4 linked regions of the Sus scrofa genome follow. The protein of the gene in region 1 interacts with the protein of each later gene in a pairwise test. Links are inferred from orthologs where the notes say so. Each region holds a gene or a part of one and is shown in the gene's direction. Other genes may lie near its edges.

Region 1 (5,033 bases):
CCCATAAGGTTACAAGGGCCCTGGTTTACCGGCAGAACTGCAAATGAGTGGGAAAGAGTAAGTTACTAAGTACCACTACAAATAGCCTATGTATTAAGTCATTGAGTCCTTGTATCAAACTGTTCAGTTTTGGTTCTAGTATCACTTCAGTTTCATGAGACGAGGGCCAGAATTTAGTTTGAGATGGGACAGGGCTTTGAAACCATACCTTAGCCACTATCTCATACAAACTGTTTTATATTGGTCCATATGTGTCCATCTTCTCAAGCAAAAGTTTTAAACATTTGCCTTTTTTTTTTTTTAACTTTTTAAGGGCTGCACGTGCAGCATGTGAAAGTTCTCAGGTTAGGGGTCTAATTGGAGCTACAGCTGTGGGCCTACATCACAGCCACAGCAATGCCAGATCCAAGCTCTATCTGACCTATGCTGCGGCTCACAGCAACGCTGATCCTTAGCACACTGAGTGAAGCCAGGTTTTGAACCTGCATCCTCATGGTTACCAGTTGGGTCTTTAACCCCCTAAGCCACAACGGGAATTCTTATAAACACTTTTTTTTTTTTTTTTTTAATGCTGATTCCACCGGGACAGGGATCGAATCCGTGCTACAACAGTGACCCAAGCCACTGCAGTGACAGTGCCGGATCCTTAGCTCAATTTGCTGCCAGGGCACTCCTCAACACGTTGTTCTTAATACCAGCCCGTGTTAAAAGCTATAAATACCTTTCATTAGTCAAAATATCTTCAGAAGGTGGTATCTAGCTTACCCATGATGTTCAGTAGCCAAGTTGGGATCTGAACTTCTTGAAGGGAAGAGGTGGCCTATTCTTGTGTGGAAGCTTCTTAGTTCAGGGTGTGTGGTAAAGGGACAAGCAGCAGGACCTGGTTAGATTTGGGGAAATGAGTGAGGTGGCAGGGGACTGCACTGTGTCCTACTGGGATGGGAATGGTGAAAAGATCAGGTTCTGAAGCAGGATATGAAGGAGGTGGGGAGTCCATCACCTCCAACCAGTCTGCCATAGCACGTTTTTCACCTTTGGCCAACCAGCGCTTCATTTCCTTGTTACTTGGACAGGCCTCTTTTGTGCTTCATTCCTGTGTCCTGCAGCCCAGCCCCACCCTTCTGGGAAACATCCCAATTAGCATATCCAGGGAAAGGAGAGAATTTTGTATTCAGTGTAGGAAAGCCTTGGAAGTTACATACTCTACATACTGCGGATCATGTTGGAGATAGTGGTTAGGGAAGGAGCAGCAGAGAGGGGGGAGACCCAGGAACTAGAACTGTATAAATTAATTCCAAAAATCCGGCTCTTCCTAAAGAATAAATGAGGGCATAAAATGGCTCTGTGTGCCTGTTTACACAGCCAAACGTGTTTGGCATTTTCATTTAATTGTTGGTGACCTTTTCAGTATCCTTTCTAGGTCCCTTCAGGGTTAGACAGGAGTACTGTCAGGGTGGCCAGACTAGAATGAAACTAATTTGGAAAGAGCAAAAAATATGAACTAAGATTTTACGGTAGAGATACAAGTATCAAAGCAGATTTTTGTTCAACGTCAACAAAAAAGGAAACTGATGGGCGTGATAATTGGACGTCGGCGCCATTTTGTGGCCTCATGACGTCACCGCTAACGGGGATGGCGTCACTCCCATGAAGCCACGTGATGGTTAAGCGAGAAAACCTCCCTCTACGCCGACTGAGTAGAAGTTGGTCTGCGTACGCCTGACTCAGGGCCGCTCTCGTGCGCATGCTCACGAAGGCCCATGGCGGCGGCGGGGGGGGGGGGCCCACAGCGCGCAGGTCACGTGTCCTGGTCGTCGGCGCGCGCACCGTTTGCCCCGGAAGCGGTCGGCGCGCGGCGCGGCTAGGCGCTAAGATGGCGGCGGCGTGAGTTGCATGTTGTGTGAGGATCCCGGGGCCGCCGCGTCGCTCGGGTCCTACCATGGCCGTCACCATCACGCTCAAAACGCTGCAACAGCAGACCTTCAAGATCCGCATGGAGCCTGATGAGACGGTGCGAACCAAGCCTGAGCCTGGGAACGGGAGCGACGGGTGCCAGGGGTTCGGGGGGAGGCTGGGATCCCGACGAGAGACGCGGGGAAGACGACGCGGGGCCGGGCCCTGCCCATTCTCCCAAACTGCCCTACTTTTCCAGATTACCCGATGGTCCCCAACCCAGGCCCTGGTGGCTCGGGTGGAGCTCTAGTGTCGATCTCCAGGCAAAGCCCCACCCCCGGGGCGCCTGCCAGGCCCCGGCTCCAATGTCAGCGCCCTCGTGGGGCGCGGGAGCCGCAGGCTCAGATTTTCTGTCGTGCTGCTGTCTCTGGGACTGGGCCTCCTAGTTCCCAGCTTTGTAGGCGTTTCCTCTGGACGTTGGTGGCCGAATCTACGAATAGTGGCCAAGAGATGCCGGGTGATGACAGCAACGACGATGATAAAGATAATAAATGGTCTGAGTTTCAATGGTCCGTGTTTGTTCTTCACCAGTCACTGAGCGTTTTCGTATTATCTTACTAAATCTTCAAAGTAGGCTTGTCATTTGGGGACTTAGTCTTCTTGTTTTACAGATGTGGAAATTTAGGAGTTAAGGAACGTAGACATAGTCGCATACAGCAAATAACAGTAGGGGTTTGCCTCAAGTGAGCCTATGGACGAAACCTTATGCTGTCTTTTTAGCTGAGAAGAGACTTCGAATCTAATATGCGTATTTGGCATTATTCGCACAACTTATCTCATGAAGAAGATGTTTAAGTTCACTTTTTATAGAGAGAGAAATAGATTTTCTCATCAGCCTGTTTGCCTTTGGGCAAGTTAGTTAACAACCTATCTGTGCCTTTTTTTCTTGGACATAAAATGAGGCTAATGGTAATTTTTTTACCCAGTTACAATGAGGATTTAAACTTGTGACACATGTATGTTTACAATAGTACTGTAAACTTAGGATTCTACCACTGAAAACCACTGTCAGCAGCATGGAGTGAGGAACCCTCCTATCGCCCCTTTTTTCTGTTTTTCATTACATTGTGTTTACATTTTCTGACTTCCATCTCCCAAATAAGCGTCATTTCTACAAAAACAGAGTTTGTTGAGTTTTGTTCTCTGTTGTGTCCTCAGTGCCTAAAACTGCACCTGGCACATAGAAGTGTGCAGTAAATACTCCATTGAATGATGGGATAGCCTAGAATGCTTGATTATGAAGCTTAGCTTCTCAGTCATCAGGGCTTGTTTTCTCCCCTCTCCTCCTATACTATAAGGGAAGAGAGAATCTTGGGGTTTGCCATGACTGTGTACCCCTTTCTCCAGGTGAAGGTGCTAAAAGAGAAGATAGAAGCTGAGAAGGGTCGTGATGCCTTCCCCGTGGCTGGACAGAAACTCATCTATGCTGGCAAGATCCTGAGTGACGATGTCCCCATCAGGGACTATCGAATTGATGAGAAGAACTTTGTGGTCGTCATGGTGACCAAGGTAGGTGAGGTAGCTGGTTGGGAGGGTGGGTGGATTAGCTTGGGAGCTGGCCAAGAGCCTGTGTGCCTAAGAGAGATTAACCATGAACAGGGTGGGGCTGAGCTGTGGTGGGATGTGGCGCTAGATAGGGATACTGATGCCTGCTCCCTTTTCTGGGTTTCACAGGCCAAAACTAGCCCAGGCACCTCAGTACCCCCAGAGGCCTCACCCACTGCTGCCCCGGAGTCTTCCACATCCTTCCCATTGGCCCCTGCCTCAGGCATGTCCCACCCCCCATCTCCTGCCAGAGAGGACAAGAGCCCATCGGAGGAATCGGTCCCCACGACATCTCCGGAGTCCGTGTCAGGGTAAGGCAGGGAGCAGCAGCCTCAGCTTGGGCCCTGGCCTCCCAGCACATTTCAGCGCCTACGTCCGTGGTTCCACACACCTGCGGGGAGGGCAAGCCGCCAGAAGCCAGGGTCCGATTTCTCTCTCTTGAATTTGCAGCTCTGTTCCCTCTTCAGGTAGCAGCGGGCGAGAGGAAGACGCGGCCTCCACGCTAGGTGGGTGGGTGGTCCCCAGAGCAGAGATGACTGGGTGCCCCAGCCATCAGCTGGGCCTTGTGTGGGTGTGGGAGGGCCCGGGAGCTGCCCTTCCCACTCCTTGGTGACCCAGCCCTTGCTCCTCCTTCCACAGTGACTGGCTCTGAGTATGAGACAATGCTGACAGAGATCACGTCCATGGGCTATGAGCGGGAGCGGGTCGTGGCTGCCCTGAGAGCCAGCTACAACAACCCCCACCGAGCCGTGGAGTATCTGCTCACGGTGAGGTGGGGCTCTAGCCTCCTGGGGAGTCCTCAAGGGAGCATGTGGGTGTCAGTGACCTGATGGGTGATCAAAACCTGCCCTCCAAAGCCCATGGTTTATGGTTCCAGCTAGGAAAGGTTTCCTCCAGGAACCTGGACAGGAGTGGTGGGGTGGGCCTGCAGAGGGCAGAGTGGAGGCCTCATGTGTCTCCTGCCAGGGCTGAGCATGCAAGAGGAAGGCAGTGGGCAGTCTGCATTGAACTAAATAGGATCCCTGACAGGGAATTCCTGGGAGCCCCGAGCCAGAACATGGTTCTGTCCAGGAGAGCCAAGTATCGGAGCAGCCGCCTACGGAAGCAGGTGAGTAGAGTGTGAAGTGTGCGTGTGGAGTGTCTGCACTTGAGGCGTCTGACTCACTCCATCCCCCCGACTTCAGCCCTGGGTGGTGTCTGACCAGACCCCTTTTTTCTGTCAGCAGGAGAGAACCCCCTGGAATTCCTGAGGGACCAGCCCCAGTTCCAGAACATGCGGCAGGTGATTCAGCAGAACCCGGCACTGCTGCCCGCCCTGCTCCAGCAGCTGGGCCAGGAGAACCCCCAGCTTTTACAGGTACAGCCCTGGGTAGCCGAGGGAGTCAGTGCAGGCACCGTCTCCCTTCCCCTGTGGGTACCACAGCCCCAGGCGGTGATCCTGGCCCAGCATGGTACGTAGGAGTCTCTATGCTTGGAAAGTAGGACTAAGACAATCTCCTGCTGTTCTCTGTGACCTGGTGACCTACCTGGTATCA
Region 2 (5,132 bases), on another chromosome or scaffold:
AAAAAAAAAAAACACCCAAAACCAAACAAATCTACAGGGGAACTTGAAATTTACTTCTCAAAGTTCTACAAAACCATAATTAAGATTTTAAAAAAAAGAAACTGGGAAACCATCACAAATAATCTAGGAATGAATGATCAAAGTGGGCAAGTACAAACTACTCTATAAAGAGCTTTATTTGATAACTATACAATAATCACTGGTAAGATAATTTTTTTGTGTGTGGAACTAAAAAAATCTAACTCAGAGGAACATTCATTGCCAAATTTTAGAAAATTAACTTTTGTATCTGGCAATATCTTTTTTAAACCACAGTACTAGTTTTTTTTTAATGTTAAATTTAACTTACATTCAAATATTGTGAATCAGATTTTTAAAAATCTATAAAACAAAGAAGCAAAGTTGATATGTTGGAAAGAATATTCATCAATAAATGAGGAGAAAATGAACTCTAGTATGCATTCATTCACAAGTCACCCTCTTTGGGTCTCAGTGTTCTCATAAAAATTTTGTTCATTCTGTCAGAACTGTTACATTATTCCTAAAATTCTGGGTTTCCAGCCATTTCACAACTTTCCAAATTCTTCTGGCAGAAATGTAAGACAGCAATAAAATAAAATTTGTAATCTGTCAAGATCAAATGAGCAAATAAACATGAAGATGCAAGGGAAAGACCTCAAAAGGTGGTTGAAAACATCTAAGGTGCAGAGTAAAGCCAGTTTGTAAAGTGTAGAGATTGATTACAAAAGCTTAGGAGTTACTGTGATCCATGATTATTAAATATAACCAGATAATATTTCAGTGATCATGTGCCAAACTTGCTTTTCTTTCAAATTAAAAATTATACCTACATTTGCATATTTGTGTATTATATTTGTGACAATATGCACTGATTATTCTTTCCCTTCCACTGCTGCACCCTCATATCCTATCCCCACATTAGCTAGTGAAACAAGATATTTTTGAGACTAGAAATTGCTTTCTTAACAGTAGGTTTTCCATACAATTCCATATATAGTCAGGTATTCCAAGCAGGGTGTTTAATTGATAATTTGCTTGGCAACTGGGACATTAGATGATGTACCATCTAGACAGTGACTATATTTCATTTACATCAAATTATCGGAAAATGAACCTTATTTCTCAGAGCCTAGCAGTGACTGGCACATAATTGAATGAAAGAAGTAGACAAAGAATATCAATATTCATTTATATAATGATTACTTAAGGAGAAATGTACATTCTAGCATAAAGACTTCTGACAGCCTTTTGCTTAAATTACACTTGACTTTTCCCTACGGGCAAGTTTACTGCTAGTGAAATTCCTAGAAAGGCCTGGGGAGAAGACTGGAGATACAGAAAGGAGCCAGGATTCCGGACAGAAGGCGTTTGGGGGACGTTACGGGGCTAGCAGGAAAACGTTTGGTCCTGGAGGAGTTCAGAAACCCAGCAGTCCGACAAACCCAGGGCACAGAGACGAACGCTGCCCTCGGGCCTCGGCTGGAAGCTTTGCAGAGTCAAGGGAAGGCGTCGCGCAACCTGCCGCAGGGGCAGCTCCGAGGCCCGGCCCGCGTGGCGTTTCCCCGCCCCGCCCCGGGAGCGGCGTGATGGGGGCGTGCTCCCGGGCGGCCCCGCCCCCGCCCGCCGCCCTGTGGGTCACAATGTAGGGTTAGGGCGGCCGGCGGGCGGGGCTCGGCGGGGGAGGAGCTGCCGGGCGGGGGCGGTGACGGCGGCTGGGGGAGGGGAAGGGAGGAGGAGTCGCGGAGGGAGGAGGACAGCGCCATTCCGGCCGGCCGCTCCCTCTGTCCCCTCTCCCTTCCCCGCAGTGGCCCGCGAGCCGCCAGTGAAGGAGCGCGCGCGCGCGCGCCCGTGACGCGTCCGGGCTTGCTTGCGCCCTCCCGCGCCCCAGCGTCGGCCGCCAGCTCATGGCCCGGGCCGGGGCCGACGAGCCGCGCTAAGGCGGGCCGCGCGGAGTCGTGGGGCCGCCGCCGTGGCCCTCCCTGTCCGCACCTCGCCGCCACCCCCGGTGCCCGCGCACGCCGGCCGCCATCGCCTTCGCGCCTGGCTGGCGGGGGCGCTGTTTTCCCCCGCCGTCCGCGCCGCTCCCTGGAGCTCGGCGGAGCGCGGCTGCCAGGGCCGGCGGAGGCACGAGGAGCCGGACCCCGTTGCCTGTGTCGCCGCCGGCGCCGCGGGGGCCATGACCGTGGAGCAGAACGTGCTGCAGCAGAGCGCGGCGCAGAAGGTGAGGCGAGCCCGCGAGCCGGCGCGGCCCAGCCCGGCTCCTCCTTCCGACGTGCCGCCTGGCCCGCCTCGGCTGGGAGCTCCCCGGTCTCCCTCGCCGCCGCCCCGGCCTCGGCTGCCCCGGCGTCCCCCCCGCTCCCCGCTCCCCGCCGCCCTACCCTTCTTGGGGGCGAAGCGCCCAGTTCCGGGCTGTGTGTGGAAAGCGAGGTGTAGTTAGCGGGTTTCACTCCAGTTCCTTCTCGCCGATTGTTTTCCTGTAACAGACGGTGCCGGGTGTTTATTGAGAGCGACCTCGCATTCCTACACTCCTCTCTCTGACTTCTTAATTAAACTTTATCTTCCTCCTCTTTAAAAAAGAAGAAATAGCCAGGTTGTCACCCTTTCCGAACACAGTTTTTATTTTCAAGGGAGGAGCATTCCAGGCCTGCTATTTTGCAAAAAGGTCTCCACCAGAATTGAATTGCCTGCCTGGCGGGGCAGGTACGTTAACCAGGTGGATTCAATGTAAAAGTAGAGGGTTTGGTTCGTTCCCTTTTTTCTTTTTTTCTTTTTCTTTTTCTTTGTTTTGTTATGTTTCTTTTTTTCTTTTTTTCTCCCTGAATATAGAAACTGGCCATGTTTAGTCCAGGAATCGTTTGTCCCCTAAGTTTGACCTTGTAACACATTCAAATGGTCACTCACTTAAGTTAAAAAAAAATGTGGGTTTGTGAAGCTTCAGATCTTCTACAGTAAGCAGTGAGAGATGCTTCCCCCCCCCAGATTTTGCTTTCCGAATCTCAAATGCACTATCATGGCTTGCACCATATCCAGAAGAGTAGTTGGCTATGACTTAATTTTTTTTTTTTTTGATCATTTGTGTGAAAAGCGTTTTGGGCAAAAGGAAAACATTGCTTTACTCGACTTGAAATTATGGGGGTAACCCGGGTTTACTGGGAGTAGCTACTAAAACCTGTATCTGGTTTTTCTGGAAGAGGAGTGGATGCCCCACCCTGTTGTAGTTGGGGCATAGCTATATCCTATCTGTGCTTGATTTTAGAATAAAGCCTGCTGTCCTAAAATGAACACTGTGTGTACTCACAGCTTGCTGAATTTTTGCTTTGAGATTATTTTTAGAATTTCATGATAGTACTTGAGGTAATTGAAGATGCTTAAGAATTTTGGAAAGCAAGGATAGTGCATTGTTATTTTAGGCACTTTGGGAAAGTTGTCTTTGGAACTCTTGTGTGTTAGTTAACTGTTACTGGTAAATTTAGCAGATTATTACAGACTGCAGTTTATTTACTGTGAATTTCGTGAACAGTGTCTCCGAATCCCCTCTATTCTGTTTTGAATGCCTTAAATTTTAGTTTTCCCGATGTTGAGAATATGACAAAGTGTTAATACTTAATGGAGGATCTTATTGGTCATATATATACTAAGCAATATTTAAGAGGTTTGGTGTTGTTTCTGTTTATGGTTCTCTTCGGTGTTGAATATTCAGGCCTTTTTGTTTCATAGTGGAAAATATAGCTCATATTTTTTGTATCTTAAATTTGAACAATAGCAAGAAGTTTGTGAATTTATTACATTGATTTTGGACTAAAATACTTCTTTAGCATAGAATTAGATAAGCAGATCTGTCTGCTTGAGCGCTGTATGCATAAAGTTGTGAATAGAGTCAAATTACTGAAAGTGATCTTGGCCATCAAGTCCAGTTTCCTAGTTTAATGAGTCCTTTCCTTACACAAAAGGAGTGGTTGTTAGTCCAAAATATTACCATTATGATGCTGTTTTTAGTGTGTGTCTGTCAGATCATCTCATTGATATTGTGCACATTTTTTAAGAGCAGTATAATTGCATTCGTTTTTATACTTGCATATGGTATTTTTTTTAAAGCAACATTTAGTGTGTTTGCTTTCCATATTAATATACTATTATTTTGCTACTTATATTAGAAATAATTAAAAATACTTATATAGGTCCAAATACTTTAAACCATCTACTTCAAATAAATTGATAGTTTTGAATCCACCAAGCTAGTGACTAGGAGGTGGACTTCAAGCTGGTAACTAGGAAGCGAACTTTAGAAGAAACAAAAGTGAAACTCCTTGTTTTTAAATTAGAAACTTTATGAATGATCATTAAAACCAGACGTGTCTGGTGCATATTGCATAAAATTTTAGCCTATTTTATGCTCTCCTTAAAAAAAAATTTGAGTGTTGTGTGCTCATGTGTAATATTAGCTTTATATGAAGAACTATATTCCGGTAGTTGGAACAGTTTCCTATTTTTCAAGATTCTTTTTATTCTGTTTCTGAAGGATGTATGATTAGTAATAATCTAAAAAAAAAAAAAAAAAAAAAAAGCACAGCACTCTTAGGTCTTTTGTTCACCTACACAGTAACTTGTCACAGTGTAACTTAAAGCAGTGACTATCTTTTCCTCTAATGTGTTCTTTGCTTGATTGCTCAAGTTTGGCCATAGCAGAGAGTTGAGATGTAGTGAAACTGCAGAGAGCTGCTTTTCTGAGGTTTAAGCTAATAGAGGTGAGGTGGAGTTGGTGGCAGATTGGCTATAGTTAAATCTTGTCATTATTTTGGTCTTGAACATGTCTCTTCAGCCTTTGTGCTTGATATTTACTTAAGAGTAGGAGCCTTACAGGTCAGAAATTTGATTCATAGATTCAGCTTCCAAATAAGGATTATTTAGGGCAGCAATATTGAAGGCTTCCTCCCAGGGACCAAATTAATTTGTAGAGTGAAGTGAATTGGATACTATTTACATTAACTATATCCTTCGGAGTTGAATGAAATAGAAGTTTCATAAAGGCCAGTGTTGTGCTTATTTTGTTTCACCCTAAGGCTTAGAGCAGCTCTTTGCACAGAGTGGGTTTCAGTAAATATTTGATGAAT
Region 3 (5,212 bases), on another chromosome or scaffold:
GAGCTTCATCCTCCCCTAGCAGGGTCTGAGCGCTGTCTCCCTGGGGATCTAGGCCATGAGCTTGACTAATCAGGGGGTCCCTTCTGTCCGGTGGAGTCAGACTCTCATCTCCCATCACAAAAAAGGTGTGCAGCTTAAAGCCTGGAGTGAAATGCATCCTACTGCCTCATGACGCCTGGAAGTGCTCCTTAGTTAAAAGAATCCTAAGGCGAACTCTGTCAATTTAAGTGGGGGAGATTAGTCATGAAGATAAATGCCTGTGAAAGTGTTTGGGAAAACTCAAAGTCATTACGCAAATGTGCATAATGTTGCCTTAAGAGGCCAAGCACTGTGCAAATGTCATACCTGCTGGCTGACACGTCGCTGCCAGAGGGTGGGAGTGGGTGCCTGTTAGTATGGTGTGAACTCAGCCTGTGACTGATTCCTTGGGGCTCCTTCCTGCCTATCCCTCTCTGCCCCCAGGTGGCATGAAGCCCAACACACTGGTCCTGGGTTTCTACGATGATGCTGCGCCCCAGGACCACTTCCTGACAGATCCAGCTTTCTCTGAGCCTGCTGATGCCACCCAGGAGGGCGGGTCCCCAGCCCTGAGCACCCTGTTCCCTCCACCCCGGGCTCCTGGGAGCCCCCGGGCTCTCAGTCCCCAGGACTATGTGGCCACTGTGGCAGACGCCCTGAAGATGAATAAGAATGTGGTTCTTGCCCGGGCTTGTGGGGCCCTGCCCCCTGAGCGACTGAGCCGGGGTTCCGGGGGTACCTCTCAGCCACATCATGTGGACGTGTGGCCCCTCAACCTGCTGCGGCCCCGGGGTGGACCTGGCTACGTGGACGTCTGCGGCCTCTTCCTGCTGCAGATGGCCACCATCTTGGGCATGGTGCCTGCTTGGCACACTGCCCGCCTCCGGATCTTCTTGTGCCTGGGGCCTCGGGAGGCCCCAGGGGCAGCCGAGGGGCGGCTCCGGGCACTGCTGAGCCAGCTGAGGATCCGGGCAGAGGTGCAGGAGGTTGTGTGGGGTGAGGGGGCTGGGTCCGAGGAGCCTGAGGAGGAGGAGGAGGGGGACTTTGTGAATGGCAGGCGCGGAGACGCAGAGGCAGAGGCCCTGGCACGCAGCGCCAACGCCCTGGTTCGGGCCCAGCAGGGGCGCGGCAGAGGAGGAGGGCCTGGTGGGCCTGAGGGTGGGGATGGCGAGGAAGGGCCCACCACCGCCCTCACGTTCTTGTACCTGCCTCGGCCGCCTGCTGATCCCTCTCGCTACCCTCGCTACCTGGCGCTGCTGGAAATTCTGAGCCATGACCTGGGCCCCACGCTGCTCATTCATGGCATCACCCCTGTCACTTGCACTGATCTCTGATGCCGGTTCCTAGTAGAGAGTGTCCAGGTCGAGTGGCCCACTTTGCTTGGCGGGTTGAGGAGGGGAGGTGCTGCCTCTTGCCCTCCTTGTACTTGGGACTCGGACCCTGGTGGAGGTATTAGGGGAACCTGGTCTTTGGGAGAGGGTCCTCGCTGTGCCCAGGGCAGCTGAGCCGGCGGCCACCACTGGCGAGAAGTCAGCAGCCCTCCCCCACGCTGGCCTCCCTCCCTTCACTGGTGCCTTGACGGGGCTGGGTCTCCGCTTGTGACTCTAGGCTACCTCAGTCTCCCCGCCCCTTGCCCAGTAGACTCCTCACCCTTGAGGTTGTGATGTTTTTGTTCCGTTTTATTTTTCTAACTGCTGAATGTGAATAAAAGACCAAAACACTAGGTGCTGGCCGAGCGTTTCTGGAGGGAGCCGGTAGGGGGGACAGAATGCGGGACGAATCTGTATGCGGGGAGGGGCACTGGAGCATCCCAGCGCAAGGGGGCCACGTGCGGACTTGGGGCACAAGAGCCCCGTGTTAAAGGAGGCTGCCTGAGCCTCCCACCCCCACCCCCCGGGCCCACGCTCTGGAGGAAAGCCGCCCCGGCTCGCAGGAGGGGGCCGACTAGGGGAGGGACGGCAGTTTAGGGCCTAGGGGGCCACGTGACCCTCCCCCAGGAATGCGATGACGTCATCGGGGGCGTGGCCGTCCCCAAAATTGGGGAGGAAGGGGAAAAAAAAAAGCCAGAAAAAGTTTCTGTCCTGGAGTCCCAAGCGAGGTGTCGGGGGGAAGAAGGGGTCAAAGTCAGAGCCCTGGGCTCCGTGGGGCCCTGACCGCTGTCTGGAGTCCCCCATTCCAGACCATGTCCGGGCCCACCTGGCTCCCCCCGAAGCAGCCGGAGCCCGCCAGAGCCCCTCAGGGGAGAGCGCTCCCCCGAGGCGCCTCCGGGCCGCCGCCAGCCCACGGAGCAGGTAAGGCAGCCCCAGTGCGGTGCGGAGGCCACCGGGCCACCAACACTCAACTCTGCCCTGCTGCTCTTGCCTCCCGCTGAGCCTGCCCCTGTCGCCCCTTCCCCAAGCCCGGCTGGAACCCGCCGCGCCCCCGCCCTCGCCCTCTCCCAGCCCTCACTGCCTCCTGCCCCATTCTCGGACCCCAGATGCGGGGGGAGAGGGGTGAAGAGGGACCCAAGACCGGTGGCCTCCACAAGTGTCACCCTCCTCTCCTTCCCCATCCCCACCTTGGCTCTCTCTTCCCTCACCCCAGCACTCCAGTCCCACCCCAGGGTCAATTTTTGCCCCCTCCCATCTGAGCAGTGTTACCAGGCCCCTGGGGGACCGGAGGATCCGGGCCTGGCCTGGGTGGGGTGCCATGGAGCACCCCAACGCTCACAGGTGAGCACCGCGATTAGGGGGTGTGGGGGGGACTTAGGGCAGGAGAAGAGGCCATATGAGTTGCATTCTCCCTGCTTTTGCTCTATCTCCAGGGGCTCCCCCCGGACAGGGGGGCCTTGCGCCCAGGAAGTCTGGATGCTGAGATAGATTCCCTGACCAGCATGTTGGCTGAGTTGGACGGGGGTCGGGGTCACGCCCCACGGCGGCCTGACCGGCAGGTGACTCCCCGCTCCTGTCCCTCCCTGTCCTTGTCCCCCACCCCTCCCCCGCAACCTGGTTCCTGCTCTGTATTCTCACTCCTCTTCTCCCTCCACATGGGGGATGCACCCACCAGCGAGGAGGAAGCTGGGCCACCAAAACGTACTAGGTTGCCAGCCACTCAAGGACGGGCCCTTGTCAAAACCAGTGCTTACCTGGGTGCCACAGACACAGGGTTCAGGGGTTCCACAGATGTGTGTTCTGGATTGGGCCCAGCTCATGCCTTCTGGTCTGTGCTTCTCTCCAGGCTTATGAGCCCCATCAGCTCCCTGCCTACCGCTCAGGCCCTGGCTCCCTGAAGCCGAATGGAGGGAGTGTTCCTCCCACACCACTCCCAGCGGCCTCCTATGGCGGCCCCACGCCGGCCTCCTATGCTACGGCCAGCACCCCCGCCGGCCCTGCCTTCCCTGTGCAAGTGAAGGTGGCACAACCAGTGAGAGGCTGTGGCCCCCCCAGGCGGGGGGCCCCTCAGGCCTCGGGGCCCCTCCCCGGCCCCCACTTTCCTCTCCCAGGCCGAGGTGAAGTCTGGGGGGCTGGCTACAGGAGCCACCGTGAGCCAGGGCCAGGGGGTAAAGAGGAGGCTGCCGGAGTCTCCGGCCCTCCGGGAGGAAGAGGAGGCGGGTACGGGCCCCAGGTAAGCCCTGGGCCCTGGGATTTGGGGTCCTCAAAGACAGTTGGATGCTGACTGGGTGGGGTGGGGGTGGGGGTTGATGTTCCAGTTTTCAAGCTCTGGATTCCCTGGGGGCGGGGGGCAGGTCAGGAAATAAAGGAGGGAGGGGACTAGATCTGCACACTGGCTCCCAGAGGCACACCCCTGGCCCCTGGGCTGGGGTGTTCTCCTGTGAGCTTTTGGGTGGAATTGCCTGATCACTCTCGGTGACAGTATTGGGAGGGAGAGGTAGGATTGAACCCCTGATTCTCACCTCCCAGGTCCCCCTGAGCCAGCCTCCCGAGGAGGAACTTGAGAGGCTGACCAAGAAGCTGGTGCAGGACATGAACCACCCGCCCAGTGGGGAGTACTTCGGTGAGCTGCCCCCCGCCACACACCCCGGGCAGGGGGTGGGGGGAGGTCAGGTAGACAGTGGGTCTGGCTTCCCAGTCTATGGTTGACCCTGACCCATCCCGTCCCCAGGCCGGTGTGGTGGCTGCGGAGAAGATGTGGTTGGGGATGGGGCCGGGGTTGTGGCCCTGGACCGTGTCTTTCACGTTGGCTGCTTTGTCTGTTCTACGTGCCGGGCCCATCTCCGGGGCCAGCATTTCTATGCCGTGGAGAGGAGAGCGTATTGTGAGAGCTGCTATGTGGTGAGTGGTGGGGGCTGGCGGGGGGTGGTGGCAGATGGAGTCAGCAGCAGGAAGCAGGGGGCTTCCATCCAGAGTGGGAACTAGGTGTCCAAGCCCCAAAGAATAAGGCTCGAAGCAGGAGAACTAAAACTAATAAAGAAAAAGGCATGGATGAAATAAGTAGCTGTATACTGGTTGCTGGAGAGAAAGGACAACATTCCCCTGTAAGAGTGAGGCATTTATTTTCGGTTTAGGGGAATGTGCTGAATCCCCACAATGCCCTGGTGAGGCAGCTGTTACTCCTGAAGGAAACTGAAGGTCTGAGAGCTTAAATATCTTGTCTGGGGAAGCTGCAGTGCTAGGATTTGCACGCATACCTGTTCAAGGCCACCTTTAACTGAATCACATGCAGGGGGCTACATAAATAGGTGGGGGAGCTGGCAGGATGCCTGTAAGGGCTGCCATGGGTCACCCCAGCCCTGACCTTCCTGCTCTCCTTCCTGACAGGCCACCCTGGAGAAGTGCTCCACCTGTTCCCAGCCCATCCTGGACCGGATTCTGCGGGCCATGGGGAAGGCCTATCACCCTGGCTGCTTCACTTGTGTGGTGTGCCACCGCGGCCTCGATGGCATCCCCTTCACTGTGGATGCCACCAGCCAGATCCACTGCATTGAGGACTTCCACAGGTCAGCTAGGTCATCAACCTTTGTCTCAGGATGTCTGGCCTGGCCTTTCCCATCTTCCTTATCTCTCCTTCATATCCCAGTACCAACCTCTCATGTTTTGCGCCCCTGGCCATGCCTCATTCTTGGTAACACAACTCTCTTCCATAAGATCCAAGACCCTACCTCTGGCCTATCCTGTTCCCTCCCACCCTGGGCTTCGTTGTTGGTCCCCTCCAATCCTGGGGCTTGACAGCCTCCTTGGTTCCCTTCCACTCTAGG
Region 4 (4,467 bases), on another chromosome or scaffold:
ATTATTCTTTATTCTCTGTGTCTTAAATTATTGATAACCTGACAAAGTAGAATTAGTCCAAACTTTCACTTTTTTAAAAATTATCCCAAATGATTCTTAGCCTTTTAGCCAAGGCCAATTGTCTTCGCATGAGTTAAGCATGTGCTGGTGAGGTTTAAGAAGACTTTTTAAAAATTATAACTTCTTTATTTCCTTTGTGATAGAGACAGGGCACCCCCTACGTCCAGAAAGAGCAACCACTCTTTATTCTGTAGTTCAGTGATAGAAGCAGGACTTTTGGACATCTTGTTCTCTGGGACAGGATTTTTTTTTTTTTTTTAATTATCCTAATCTCTGAAAAGGATGTCGTGTTGGACATTGACTTCAAGCTGAGACAGTCTTCAAGAATGAGTGGATGAGTAGAGGAACTCGGGCATTGTACATTTAAGGGAATCAGCAGCCAGCCTGTTTAAAAGTACTGTGATTTCAAACAGTCCTACAAGCTTTGTGTGTGTGTCATGTTCTGTTGCATCATCTTAGTTTGGGCCATCTACTAATGCTATTTCCATATCGGAGCCCACGGAAAGGAATATTTTCCATTAACTAATCTTCATCAACATTTGATTCTACTCTGCATTCCAACTCTGATTTTTTTCCCCTATTAAATCTGTGGCTTTTATTTAAATCAAGTCTGTTGCGTCACCATGTTGTACAGTAGAAAAAAAAATAATGTATTGGGGAAATAAAAAAAAAATCAAGTCTGTTGATTTACATAAGGACTATCTTTTCTTATATTGTCAAGAGATCTATAATTAACAGTGGATCCTAAATAGTCTTGCAAAAAAATTAAATAACATTCAGTGGATGCTGAATAGTCTTGCAAAAAAATTAAATTGTGACAAAAGGAATTTGTTGGTAAAGGATTATTTTAAAGGGAATTTAAAGGTTTACATTGCTAATTGAAAGATACGCTTAGTAATTGTAAATTTAAGTAGAAAAACAGCTTGGTTAAATTTGTGAGCCTTTTGAAGAAGTAATTTGGCTTCAAGGTTTCCTTGAAATTCTCAGGTATAAGTCATGTGGTTAATTTTTGTATTAGAAACTAACCTTGAAAACAAATCTTTTCCTATGTGCCCAAGAAAACTAATAGATGAGCACCTAATAATAATAGACATTGTGCTCAAAAGAAACTTAATATGCTGCTCCCTAATTCTTTGTACTCCTCTTATGTGATTTTTAGCTAGAGTCTGATCAGCAGTAATAGTATTTCTTGACATAAACGTAATCCAAATTTTTTTTTTTTTTCAGATAATGGATTCATACCTGATTCACTTCTAGAAGATGTGATGAAAGCATTGGACCTGGTTTCAGATCCTGAATAGTAAGCTCACAGGAAGTGTTATGTAACCAATTGATTTTTTTTTTAATGTAAAACATTATACACACATTATTGCCTTTTTTCAAAATCTAAATTGCATATATGAAGCCTAACACTTTATAAGAAGTGAAGATTTAGGAGGCAATCAGACCAATCAGTATTACAGCAGACTTGACATAGTTAAAATGAGCTTCCTTTTCCACTCTGTGCTTATGGTCTCGCTTTAAAAAATGATGCTAAAAATATAAATACCTTTTTCTATGTTAAATATATTTTTTCTCACTGCAAAACTTTTTCCATATTTTGAAATTTTGTGCATGCCTTCAGTACCTTCAGTTCGAGTAGTGAGAGTTTTGTAGACTGTTTATATCACTAGTCATCCTGCTTAAATAACCAGCAGGCCTCTGCTTTCAGTCTTAAAGACAATGAACATTCTGAACCTTTATAAGTGGCCGCAGTATATTACAGAATATAGTTTTCAGTATTGCCTATCATGAGTATCTGTCATTGTCTTCATTCTGTTCCATTTTTTACATTATACCTTTAACTTTTTCCATAAATTTAGGGTCTTTATTGTCCATGGGAAAATAGCCCTCTGGTTAAGTGGATACACCTGTTGATCAAACAGAAAAGTTAGAAATCAGCTATGAACTATATTAGCTTTTCCTTTTTCTGCATAGTTTATTTTTCCTCCTGAAAGTGTATCTGACAATGAACAAACTTTAGCTTATAAACATTTCAGGAAAGGATACAGCAAAAAGCAACATAAGACATAGTCGTATACATAGTTTTTAGAACTTGATCCTATTGTGTTTTTAAATAGCCGGGGTGTATTTTCTTTTCTTTTCTTTTTTTTTTTTTTAAAGTCTGATATACATATAAACATTTACAAACTAATCACATCTGAATTAATATGTCTCCGTCTCTACTTACCGCTATGATGTTATCCTTTCTTAGTAAGCATAATTGCTGATTCCAACTCACAGAGGAGAAATTTGGGAGAGACAGGTGACCTAGTTAATAAATGGTATAATAGTAACTACCATATTTCTTCTCACCTCATCTCCAAGTGGAGACCTTCTTGTTTACATTGCTCTAATATGCAAAAAGGACTGAACTCGGGTAATTTTGGTTACTAACAGTTCTTAAGATGGGAAGGAGGAAGAAGGAAAAGTTAGGTTTTCTTTCAAAACTCTTACATAGATGGCCATACATCATCTACTTAATTTTCCCATTTCATTAGACTACATGAATGATAAGCTTGGCGCAGCTGAGTTAGTGAAATTGTTTCTCTAGAAGTAGCTGAAAGGTTGGAACAAGTTACTCACTCCATCCTTTGGTCTCGTCGAGTGTATAATATGTGATGGCCCATAAACCAACAGGGTCATATCAACGATTGATAAATTTAATTAAATATAATATGACCTTGCCTTCATTTGTTTCATGTCATAACCTTCTGGCATTACTCAGACCCACTGCAGTGTCACATCTTTGGTATATTGCACAGATGACTTGAACAATGCAGGGGTTGAGGTCACCAACCCTTGGGCAGACAAAAATCCATGTGTAACTTTTGACTCCCCCAAAACTTAAGTACTAATAGCCTACTGTTGACCGGAGACCTTACTGATAACACACATTTTGTATGTTATATGTATTATATAGTGTTTTCTTAAAGTAACTTAAATGTTTATAGGAAAATCATGAGGAAGCAAAAATATATTTATGGTACCTATATGTATTTACTGGGGAAAAAATCCACATATAAATAGACCCAGGAGGTTCAAATCCATGTTATTCAAGAGTCAACTGCATAATAAGGTATATTTAACCTGACAGTTAATAACAGGGAGAATGAACATTTTCTGAAAAGATCATTTCCATTTTTGAAGCTCTTTGATTCAGTCCACTTTTCTCTGCCTTCTTTCTAGTCACACATAGCACTTTTCAGTAACCTTGTCCACACCTAATACCGAAGCTATACAGAGCACTGTTCACTTCAGGCTCCTCCTGGAATAATACAGTACATTTCCACTTATTGAAATTCATATACCTTAGCCCTTGAGGATTATCTTACTTTTTAACTATCAATTTACACTGTAAGCATTTTAAGCCTCCATCTCATTTGGTTCTTGAAAGTAAGCTCTTTAGGAGATGTTTTTAATTACCTAATGTACCCACTGCCTTTAACACTGTTTCTTTTTCTTCTTAAACATTTTGTTTAAGTTAAATGCCTCATTTGATAGTTAAATTCAAGCGTACCTACGAAGCAAAGAGAATGTTCCTTTGGGAAGTTATAAGCCTGAGTTTTTAAGTTATTTTACCTAATAAGGAACAATATTCCAAAGTCATCATTGTAATTTAAATTTTAAATAGTAACAGATTAGTCTAGTTTAAAAATAACCAAGTTTTGGCAAATTAGATGTCATTCCTATGTATTTGTCATTAAGGATCTAAAAAGAACAGCTCTTAGGACTTTTGGCAGTCAAATGTGTTAGAGTACTAGTAATTTAATCATGAAAGAAGAAAAATAAGCTTTTTTTTCTTTGGTATCCACTGTTTCTTTTTTCTCTCCCCACAGTATAAATCTCATGAAGAATAAATTAGATCCAGAAGGGTTAGGAATCATACTATTGGGTCCTTTTCTTCAAGAATTTTTTCCTGATCAGGTAACATAGATGAAGAAATATCTTTATTGTTTTGTGCTGTTGAGATGATCATATTACGATTGTTTCAGCATTTTTTTCTACTAATTTAAAATGTTCCTACATCCAGATACAAAACTAAGAAAGTGAAATTATCATGTGAATACTTTCCCCTGACAGAGAGGCTGGGGGGGGAGGGTACCTGTGTTCCAAAATTCAGTAAGTCACAACTTTGATTGGGGCACGGGGGCGGTGGAAGAGAGTATATAAACCAGTGTAGACACACTGATACGGTTCTTCTAAAGGAAGATTCAAATCCATAGGTACATGGAGTGAAAAAAGACAAGTGTCGCTTAGTCCACTCCCACCCCTCTTTTCCTCCTCTCCAGTAACTGTTGTTAATAGATAGGAAGTTCTAGGAGGATACGTTCCAAAGTACTAGGAGAGGAGGCAGAGGAGCCTGTT

The links.
Region 2: the proteins of RAD23A (region 1) and USP25 interact in binary tests that used the Homo sapiens proteins (3 or more experiments, as listed by UniProt). The link is inferred for Sus scrofa from reciprocal best matches to the Homo sapiens genes RAD23A and USP25.
Region 3: the proteins of RAD23A (region 1) and TRIP6 interact in binary tests that used the Homo sapiens proteins (3 or more experiments, as listed by UniProt). The two-hybrid records come from large-scale screens. The link is inferred for Sus scrofa from reciprocal best matches to the Homo sapiens genes RAD23A and TRIP6.
Region 4: the proteins of RAD23A (region 1) and MINDY3 interact in binary tests that used the Homo sapiens proteins (3 or more experiments, as listed by UniProt). The two-hybrid records come from large-scale screens. The link is inferred for Sus scrofa from reciprocal best matches to the Homo sapiens genes RAD23A and MINDY3.

What each region holds. Positions count from the first base shown.
Region 1 is NC_010444.4:66,093,149-66,098,181, reverse strand, and holds the start of RAD23A (UV excision repair protein RAD23 homolog A), read left to right. Parts: upstream 1-1,704; 5' UTR 1,705-1,939; coding exon 1,940-2,011; intron 2,012-3,300; coding exon 3,301-3,462; intron 3,463-3,627; coding exon 3,628-3,809; intron 3,810-3,948; coding exon 3,949-4,004; intron 4,005-4,137; coding exon 4,138-4,265; intron 4,266-4,527; coding exon 4,528-4,606; intron 4,607-4,721; coding exon 4,722-4,855; intron 4,856-5,033. UniProt on the Homo sapiens protein: Multiubiquitin chain receptor involved in modulation of proteasomal degradation. Binds to 'Lys-48'-linked polyubiquitin chains in a length-dependent manner and with a lower affinity to 'Lys-63'-linked polyubiquitin chains.
Region 2 is NC_010455.5:180,569,266-180,574,397, forward strand, and holds the start of USP25 (ubiquitin carboxyl-terminal hydrolase 25), read left to right. Parts: upstream 1-1,854; 5' UTR 1,855-2,197; coding exon 2,198-2,242; intron 2,243-5,132. UniProt on the Homo sapiens protein: Deubiquitinating enzyme that hydrolyzes ubiquitin moieties conjugated to substrates and thus, functions in various biological processes including inflammation and immune response.
Region 3 is NC_010445.4:8,711,180-8,716,391, forward strand, and holds the start of TRIP6 (thyroid receptor-interacting protein 6), read left to right. Parts: upstream 1-2,041; 5' UTR 2,042-2,200; coding exon 2,201-2,309; intron 2,310-2,601; coding exon 2,602-2,729; intron 2,730-2,821; coding exon 2,822-2,947; intron 2,948-3,234; coding exon 3,235-3,621; intron 3,622-3,917; coding exon 3,918-4,011; intron 4,012-4,119; coding exon 4,120-4,289; intron 4,290-4,775; coding exon 4,776-4,954; intron 4,955-5,211; coding exon 5,212-5,212. Other genes in the region: SLC12A9 (solute carrier family 12 member 9), read left to right, coding at 463-1,352. UniProt on the Homo sapiens protein: Relays signals from the cell surface to the nucleus to weaken adherens junction and promote actin cytoskeleton reorganization and cell invasiveness. Involved in lysophosphatidic acid-induced cell adhesion and migration.
Region 4 is NC_010452.4:46,052,464-46,056,930, forward strand, and holds part of MINDY3 (ubiquitin carboxyl-terminal hydrolase MINDY-3), read left to right. Parts: intron 1-1,287; coding exon 1,288-1,360; intron 1,361-3,938; coding exon 3,939-4,026; intron 4,027-4,467. UniProt on the Homo sapiens protein: Hydrolase that can remove 'Lys-48'-linked conjugated ubiquitin from proteins.